2 linked regions of the Oryzias latipes genome follow. The protein of the gene in region 1 purifies or fractionates together with the protein of each later gene. This does not show direct contact. Links are inferred from orthologs where the notes say so. Each region holds a gene or a part of one and is shown on either strand. Other genes may lie near its edges. The genes, in order: ewsr1 and dhx9.

The links.
Region 2: the proteins of ewsr1 (region 1) and dhx9 purify together in Homo sapiens (affinity purification with mass spectrometry; 3 studies listed by BioGRID, with this or other methods). This does not show direct contact. The link is inferred for Oryzias latipes from reciprocal best matches to the Homo sapiens genes EWSR1 and DHX9.

The regions. Positions count from the first base shown.
Region 1 is NC_019867.2:12,693,506-12,697,887, reverse strand, and holds the start of ewsr1 (RNA-binding protein EWS), read left to right. Parts: upstream 1-1,345; 5' UTR 1,346-1,395; coding exon 1,396-1,411; intron 1,412-1,867; coding exon 1,868-1,907; intron 1,908-2,066; coding exon 2,067-2,118; intron 2,119-2,756; coding exon 2,757-2,886; intron 2,887-3,034; coding exon 3,035-3,236; intron 3,237-3,383; coding exon 3,384-3,640; intron 3,641-3,756; coding exon 3,757-3,916; intron 3,917-4,382. UniProt on the Homo sapiens protein: Binds to ssRNA containing the consensus sequence 5'-AGGUAA-3'. Might normally function as a transcriptional repressor. EWS-fusion-proteins (EFPS) may play a role in the tumorigenic process.
Region 2 is NC_019875.2:12,671,528-12,675,770, reverse strand, and holds the start of dhx9 (ATP-dependent RNA helicase A), read left to right. Parts: upstream 1-1,139; 5' UTR 1,140-1,237; intron 1,238-1,747; 5' UTR 1,748-1,818; coding exon 1,819-1,929; intron 1,930-1,999; coding exon 2,000-2,140; intron 2,141-2,368; coding exon 2,369-2,474; intron 2,475-2,546; coding exon 2,547-2,701; intron 2,702-2,874; coding exon 2,875-3,023; intron 3,024-3,483; exon of another isoform or gene 3,484-3,543; intron 3,544-3,629; coding exon 3,630-3,676; intron 3,677-4,091; coding exon 4,092-4,228; intron 4,229-4,243. UniProt on the Homo sapiens protein: Multifunctional ATP-dependent nucleic acid helicase that unwinds DNA and RNA in a 3' to 5' direction and that plays important roles in many processes, such as DNA replication, transcriptional activation, post-transcriptional RNA regulation, mRNA translation and RNA-mediated gene silencing.

The sequences.
Region 1 (4,382 bases):
TATAGCTCAACAAATAATGCTGCAACTCTATGTGGAAGGCCTATGATTGGGAGACAAAAAATTAACAAACAAATTTTTTCGAGAGATTTTAAATAATTCATATTACCCTTCACGTTTAAAAGAAAATATATTTTGAAGAATTACAGCACCACAGAAGCTAAAAGGATATGAACATTATATCTATCATATCCTATCCCTCACAAAACAAAAGATGTGAACTTTAAAATATTAAATGATATATACTCTTCCAATCATTTTTTTACATTCTCGCTTTAACTGGGATGGTGATCTTTGTGTCTTTTGTGGAAAGGATGTAGAAACGGTGGAACATTTTTTCTTTGAATGTTTGCATGTAAAAGAGTTTTGGTCTTCTTTTTTTCATATTTGGCTCAAATCAATAAATATCATCATTAACCCTTTAAAATCTGGACTTTCTGATTTATATACTGGTTGTAATTTCGAAGCATATTATACATACTTGTAAATCCTTAAAGGTGAAACCTCACATTAATGGATTACTAAACCGTCTCAAATTATTCTTTAAATCTTTACATTACATGAATCATAGAATTGACATTGTATAATTCATTGATTTATTTAAACTTTTGCAAAAGCCCCTTATTTTTATTTATTATTATTTTTTAAGTTACATTTGTTTTCATATTTGTTTTTTGTCTACCTTTATCTCAGCATTGATATTGTTGTCATTGACAAACATGCCGTGATTGTTTGTTATATAACAACAACAACAACAAAGTTTTGTCACATAGTAGTGTTTTTTGAGAAGACATGAAATTGTATTTAAAATAAAAGAAACAAAATATGAAGATCCCACTGTGGTAAACTGGCTCACGTGTGGAGTTTTTAAAAAAAATATTTAATAATAATATTTTCCATATAATGATATGAATAAATTCTGATGTTGTAATGGATAAATAAATAAGATTTATAGTGCTTAAACTGTGTGGTCTGACAGATGATCTGCCTAATTTTAAAACTATAGAGTAGACTATTAATTAAAGGCATAGCAAGCCTGTTTGATGCAAAAAAGTACAGACCGCTTAACAGCTGAACTCAACTTTCATTACAATACTTTTTTTTTAATAAACTTTATTATTCAACACAAATAGAACAAGTATGTATGACAGGAACAATAGTCATAACAACAACAATGTCAGGGGATGGTACATGTATTACAAAAAGATTACAGATGCTATGAATTAAAAAGCAATTGCCAATAATGACGTGAGTATTAAACTTTATTTAAAATTCTATTAAAATTATGGGTCGTCTTCAAGTCTCGCGAGAATACACTGGTTTTCAAATGGGAGACAAACGTTTTTTTCTTTTTACCCAGAGTGCAGCGTCCATTCGGTCTTTCACAGGCAAGCTAAAATGGCGTCAGCTCCCGGTAAACGCAAAATTTTTACCAAAGTCACGATATTTACATTTATTATTCTTTGGAATTAATCTGTATTTGTTATTTAATGGTTTTGCATGTGGGTATTTTGTAGTATTTAGCGTTTATGTGGATTGTTTAAAAATGTGCCGTGGCGTGGACGGTGCAAGCGGCTTTGTGGTAGGCCTTGTTGTTTCGTGAGCTTCAACCATTTTTGCCGTTTTCAGTCTGTAACCTTGTTTTTTGATAATTTTTATATTTATCGTACATCCTCATGCTTAAAGAACTCAATCATTCATTGAACATTGTTCATGTAGTGTGTCCTTATCTTTAGCTAACAGGCATAGCATTAGCATTGAATTGTGACTCAATTGGCCCGTAACGTGCTAGCTTAATGGCGCGCAAACGAAACGTCGATGTTTCGTCGCATTTTAATTTAAAGTATTTTTTTTATCTTTTGTTTATAAGCAGATTACAGTTCCTACAGTCAGGCCAGTGCTCAACCAGGGTAAGCATTACTTTGTTTTATACCAATAAAAATTAAAAAGAATTATTAAATTAGAAGCTCTTCAGTCAACAACAGCCAGGAAATAAAGTTAAATTGGTTGATACCCATGTCAAATTACAGAACAGCTTTGGAAGTCTTTTTTGGATATTTCTTTTGCAGGTATGCCTCTTATGGCACCCAGCCATCACAGAGTTATGGACAAACAGCACAGGTGAGATTTGTAAAACAGCAGTTTGATGATGTGTGAAAACTACTGTATCACTATTTGGTCATATGCTGGCTCCTCTGTTCTTAAACCCGTTGAATCTTGCTATAAAAGAGCAATAAAACTGCTGGACAAGAATCACCGTTCCTGCCATCATCAGTCACATTCTTAACAAATATAAAATTCTAGGTTTTGAATCTTTCAAATCGGTTTTTCTAAGGTCCTTCGTGGTTTAGTCCCTCCAATTTTTAATCACAAATGACAGTAACCAGAACATTTTATGACTAGACATTGATTTAGAAAAATATATAAAGTTAAGATTTATACTGTTTATATTTTGTGTTTTCTTTTACCTCTGTTTTATATTCAATTTTCAACGTGTAGGTTCTTCTTAAAATCAGTTTTTGTTTCTTCAGTAACATTTACCTCCCAGGAGACGGCATATTGAAATTATCCTGTGGCCAAAATCCAACATCTCTTTTTTAAATGAATGCATATCAAACGCAAAGACTTTAATTAAGTTTAATTTATTTTATGTGATATTCATATAATTTATATTTATAAATGTAGGTAGTTCCTGGTTGCATGTGCTTGCCTAGCAGCTAAAGTAGGCTCTGTTCTAACAGCAAAGTTATGGTCAACAGAATTATGGATCATACACCCAGCCTGCTGCAGCTGCTGCAGACAGCAGCTACACCCAGGCGACCCCTGCAGCTGCAGGATACCCTCAGCAGCAACAGCAGTATAGCTCCTCCTATGGACAACAAGCATCAGGTAGGTTTTTCTCATCAGTGATCCCATTTGGATTTATTAAGACTGATGGATTGATAACAGTCTAAATGAATACATGATATTTGCTTCTGCTTTTAAAGTTTGCTTCAAACTGGTGCCTGCATTTAGCATGAAACTTATTTCTCCCCAGCTGCAGGCTATCCCGCTGCTCAGTCTACAGCTCATGGCTATTCGCAGTCAACTCAAGGCTATGGAGCCAGCGGGTATGATAGTACTCCAGCTGCAGCTACCGCTCCAGCCGCATCCCAGTCGTATGGCTCCCAGCCAGGCTACACCGCCCAGTCCGCCTACACTGGTTATGGTCAACAGGCAGCTCCAGCTGCACCGCAGAGGTAAATGTGCCTCCTTAGGAAGAAAAAATAATCACACCATGTAAATTCTTCAGTTGACTTGAAGTTATAATACACGACTCATAAGGATGATGTAATGTCTCTGTGATCATGATCAAAACAGACCCCTTATTTATTTTGTCTCTATAGTTACAATGCTAGCAATCAACCAGCTAGTTACAGCCAGAGCAGCTACTCACAACCTGCGTCATATGGACAACAGCAGGCTGGTTACCAGGGTCAACAAGCAGGTTACAACCAGCAGCAGGGTTACCAGCAGCAGACAACTCAACAACAAGCTCCACCTGCCTACCCTCCTCAAACTGCTGGTTCTTATGGTCAGCCTCCAGCCAGTCAGTACAACACACAAGGTGGACCACCTAGTTACAACCAGTCCAGCCATTACAGTACGTTTTATGTTGTGCTTTAACTCCATATATAAAATGGAGCTAAAGAACAATTTGGTTTGGCTCTGTGCTCACCCTACATGGTGTGATCTGATGTTTGTGTTGTTCCTTCATAGGTAGCTACAGGCAGGATGGTCAGGGTGGAAGTTCTGGTTATCCTGGCTCTGAGCCCGGAAGGTACTCAGGCCCAGGGGACAGCAGAGGTCCTGGCAGGGACGGCTTTGACCGTGGTGGCATGATGCATCGTGGTCGCGGAGGCATGGGGCGTGGAATGGGGTAAGTGTGCTTCCTTAGTGTCTTCCATTGTTTTGCCTCTGCAGGTGCTGTAACCATTTGAGGCAGGGCTGAGACAAGTCATTTCAGACATTTGCAATTAACTTTCTTGTAGATACAATGCAGCATTGAGTTATTTGTACGCTGTTACTGAAATTGACTTTTGTTTGAGTACCGGGGTGTTGAATCTCAGTTTCAGAGAGCTGTATCCTGCTTGTTGGATATGTTGCTATCTCGATTCGGTAGCAACATAGAAGGGGGAAAATTACATTCATCACTGACGGCTGGGATTTGACACCCCCTACTAAAACATGATGGTCATTAGTCTTTATTAGCCTTCAATAAGTGCAGGCATATTCTTGATTTAACCTCAGCCCTGCCTCTTTTGGTTTAAGGTAAGTTCCAGTTTTGATCACCATCATCTAGACCTGTGCAAAAATTCTTAGCTTCAAAAGCTTAAGGACTTTAG
Region 2 (4,243 bases), on another chromosome or scaffold:
ACTATAAACAGGACAGATTTTCTGTAGATTCTGTAGATTAAATCTTCGGTTGACACTGAAAAAATAAAAATGAAATAAAAATCTATGGTTTTAAGCTAATAAACCTTACAATGCAGGTCATGTTACAGCTATGTCATTTTATAAGAGAGATCTGGTTTTTTCTTAAATTAAAATCAGATGAGAAGTTTAGAAATTAGACAAGGATTTGGTCATTTGAAGATTTTTGTTTTATAAAAATAAACTGATTTGTTAAAACAAAATTTATTCGTGAGAAAAACAATGGAACATCCCACGTAACAAAATAAAAGGTTTTTGTTGACTTGATTTAAAATATAATTTACATTTGGAGTCCATATTTCGTGCTCCAAATATGAATCACACAGAAGCAAGATTAATATTTCCATAGTTGTTACTCGAAATTTGAACTTCTGATTGTTTATGGAACTTACATAAATGCTGAATTGAATTCATGAAGGAGAAATTGTGAAAAATTTTCATTTATTCATTTATTCATTCATTCATTCGTTCGTTCATTCATTTGTTCATTCATTCATTCGTTCGTTCATTCATTCATTCGTTCATTCATTTGTTCATTCATTCATTCGTTCTTTCATTCATTCATTCATTCATTCATTCATTCGTTCGTTCATTCATTTGTTCATTCATTCATTCGTTCGTTCATTCATTCATTCATTTATTCATTCATTCATTCGTTAATTCATTCATTCATTCATTCATTCATTCATTCATTCATCTTCTTCCGTTTGCTCCCTTTCGGGGTCACGGGGCTGCCAGAACCTATCTCGGCCACTTGTGGGCGAAGGCAGGGGGCACCCTGGACAGGTCGCCAGTCTCTCGCAGGGTTGGAATAATTTTAATAATTTAAATTTGATTACAGCAACAACAACAAAAACTTACACTGATTTTATGAATGTTTATGACACAGTGGCCACTTATAATCCTTGTGGACAATGGGTTGATGTTAACCACAATGTAATTTGAGTAAAGGAAACCAACTAGAGTGACAAAAGACAGAAATCTAGTTCTCATCCCAGTAGAATAAAAAAAATCATCATGCAGAGGGGCGTTGATAAAAAAGGATCAACTCACTGCCAGGAGCTAACAGTTCATTTCACCTCCAGAACAGAGGGTGGCGCTGTTGCGCGGTAGAAGAGTTCAAAGCTTCCGCTGTTGCCGCTTTGCAGGAATCTGCACTGCAGACTTGACTGAGCGGACGGTAGGTGTTGAATGTAGTCGTTGATGTTAGAATGAAAATGTTTGCTTTTTTAATATTTATTTTGCATACGTACTTCGTGTCTTACTGGCGTTAGTTAGTTTAGCCTCAATGCGTCTGTCAACGTTTACACCGGTTGATGAATGAAGCTAACGTTAGCATACTAGCATTTTCGTTGTAGTTGTCTCAGTTGCAACTGATGATTCAATGTGGGATCAATTGGGGAAAAATATTGCATGGAGGATCACATTATTGCTTGATGATAGGAGCTGCACGTGGCTAGCTGAAGTATAAAAACGGTCAAACATTTCCCCCGTGACTTAGTAACGTTAGTGTTGTTATCGTTTCTCCCTGTGTGTGTGTCGGCGCACATATGTTTTTCTGTTTAGGGTTTCTTTTACGACACGCACGCAGGCAGCGGTTTACTGTAGCTTCCTGAACAACACTGTATGTTTTGATGTGACGCCTGCCAGTGATTCTGCGGTTGTTCAGAGCCACCTCTGTGTTTTACAGGCAACACTAAGGGACCAGGGCACACCTGAAGCTCGCAGGTAAAGCCCACGCGGAGCTGGAAGCTCGCCACTATGGCGGACATCAAGAATTTCCTGTACGCCTGGTGTGGAAAGAAAAAGCTGACTCCCAACTACGAAATCCGGGCGGCGGGCAACAAAAACCGGCAGAAGTTCATGTGTGAGGTCGGTCTGCATTCACAGCCAGCTGGTTTGTAACCAGACTCTCCCGTAACGTCTCTGTTTGCTCCTGAAGGTGCGGGTGGATGGCTTCACCTATGTGGGGATGGGAAACTCCACCAGCAAGAAGGATGCTCAGACCAACGCCGCCAGGGACTTTGTCAACTATCTGGTCCGAGTCGGGGAGATGAAGGCTGAAGAGGTTCCAGCTCTGGGGGTCAGAAAGCTTTTTTTTACGCTTTTTTAAAGGAGATGTAAAAACAAAGCAAACCAGAGGAACATCTTTCCAATCAATAGAGCATCCAGCTATGTTCAGGCCAGAACAGAAAACCATTTAGAAAGTCAAGATCCATAAAGACTGGGAGACTGCAAGGATTAGTCAAAAGTTTACCAGTGGGCAGCGAACACTTAACCGGAACTGACGGCCTTTTGTTGTTCTACCCAGGCCGTGGCTCCAGAACCCAACCAGCCCGAAGGACCTCCGGGAAGCTTCGGAACCCTCCCAGCCAGCGGGCCGCTGCCCCCCCACCTGGTGGTGAAGGTGGAGAAAGGTTTGAGCCGAACACACCTAACCTGCTGCTCCCTGACTTCAGTCCTCTTCATCCTGTGGTTTCTGTTTTCAGAGGCTGATGCCTTCATCAATGCACCTCCAGGACAGACTGAACAAGGGTTCCCTCCTAGAGGTGGCAATGGGGGAGGAGGAGGAGGGGCTGAGTGGGACAGAGGAGCCAACCTGAAGGAGTACTACGCCCGGAGGGATGAGCAGGAGGCTCAAGCGGTACTGGAGCCAGCTATGTGCCATGAAGCTGCTTTTCAAGAAGATCCCGGTCCTTTTGAGCTGTGTTGTCACATGTTGCAGTCACATGACTGTGACAACATTAGGCGGCTTCATAACAGGTGGGACTGCTCTGCCTTAGTACCGGTCCCACTAATGCGGCTCTCCTGTTGTAGACGCTGGAATCCGAGGAGGTAGACCTGAATGCAAACTTGCACGGAAACTGGACCCTGGAGAACGCCAAGGCCCGTCTCAACCGGTTCTTCCAGCAGGAGAAGATCACCTCCGAGTACACGTACAGCCAAGTGGGACCCGATCACAACAGGTCTGGATCAGCGCTCCCCTACAAGCCGTCTGACCAGATCCAGCCTGACGAGCCCAGGTCTCTCGTCAGTCTGGATCTGGTCTTTTCTGCTGTTCAGATCTGTCAGGTGGGGGTGGGAGAGTGGGGTATTGACAAATGAACTCTAATTAAAAAGCTGCAGCTTCTCGGGTTGGTAAATGTTTCCTCTGAAAGGGGCCACACTCCTGGGCCCGCCGCTCACTGGTAGCACCTGTGTGTTTTTCTGCCGGACTGCTGCAAACCCAGAGAGCTCCTGCGTGTGCCGGCTACACCGGAGAGCCCTCACAGCCACATGCTCAACTCAAAGCCTGCAGAGCGACACTAGAACTCACGACCACGCTGAGGAAATACATGGGGATGGCGTTTAGGTTCTCTAAAGCCCCCCCATGGGTGCAGCTCCGTGGTCTCTGGTCGTGATTTGTGGTGTTGCTCTTCATTGTAGGCTTTAAAACCTGAAAGTCTGGCAGAAAAACGCCCAGGTTTCTTTCTGAGGACACATCAGGTGAGTCTGCTCCTGAGGGATGCTTGGCTTTAGGCTTTTACTTTGAAAGGCACGGGATGTAACTCTGCCATGTTATTTGTCTGCAGGAGCTTCATAGCAGAGATGCAGCTGTTCGTGAGGAAGCTCGGCAGAAGTAAGTTTTGACATGTCTGTACATGAGACCACAGAGACGGTTCTGTGCTGAGATTCTTTACGCTTATTTTAGCAGAGCCAGTAAATAGAAATTGGTGCTTTCCTTAACAAATAGAAAACCTTTTCTCTTGTGTTTTAAGTATCAGAAAGCTTGTATTTTTTAGCATTTTGAAATTTTTCTTAAAACTAAATGACAAAAGACTAATACCGGCAGAAACCAATTCTTTTAATAAATATGAAACAAACGAATCACCCCTCAAATAGGAATAGTTTACTTTCTCCCGCCCCATTGTGCCTTCAACCCTGTTGAGGTGGATGCAACAAAAACCAATCGATTTTGATTCGTTACTGCTGTGCAGAATCCTACGGGTGATGTCAGAGATGACTCCGCCCCTTTTGTGCTGTGTTGTTTACAGAGATCACGGCCCGCGAACACGGATCTAACAAGAAGCTGGCAGCGCAGTCGTGCGCGCTGTCGTTGGTGCGACAGCTGTACCACCTGGGGGTGCTGGAGGCGTACACCGGGGTCACCAAGAAGAGGGAAGGCGAGACGGTGGGAGTTTGTTTT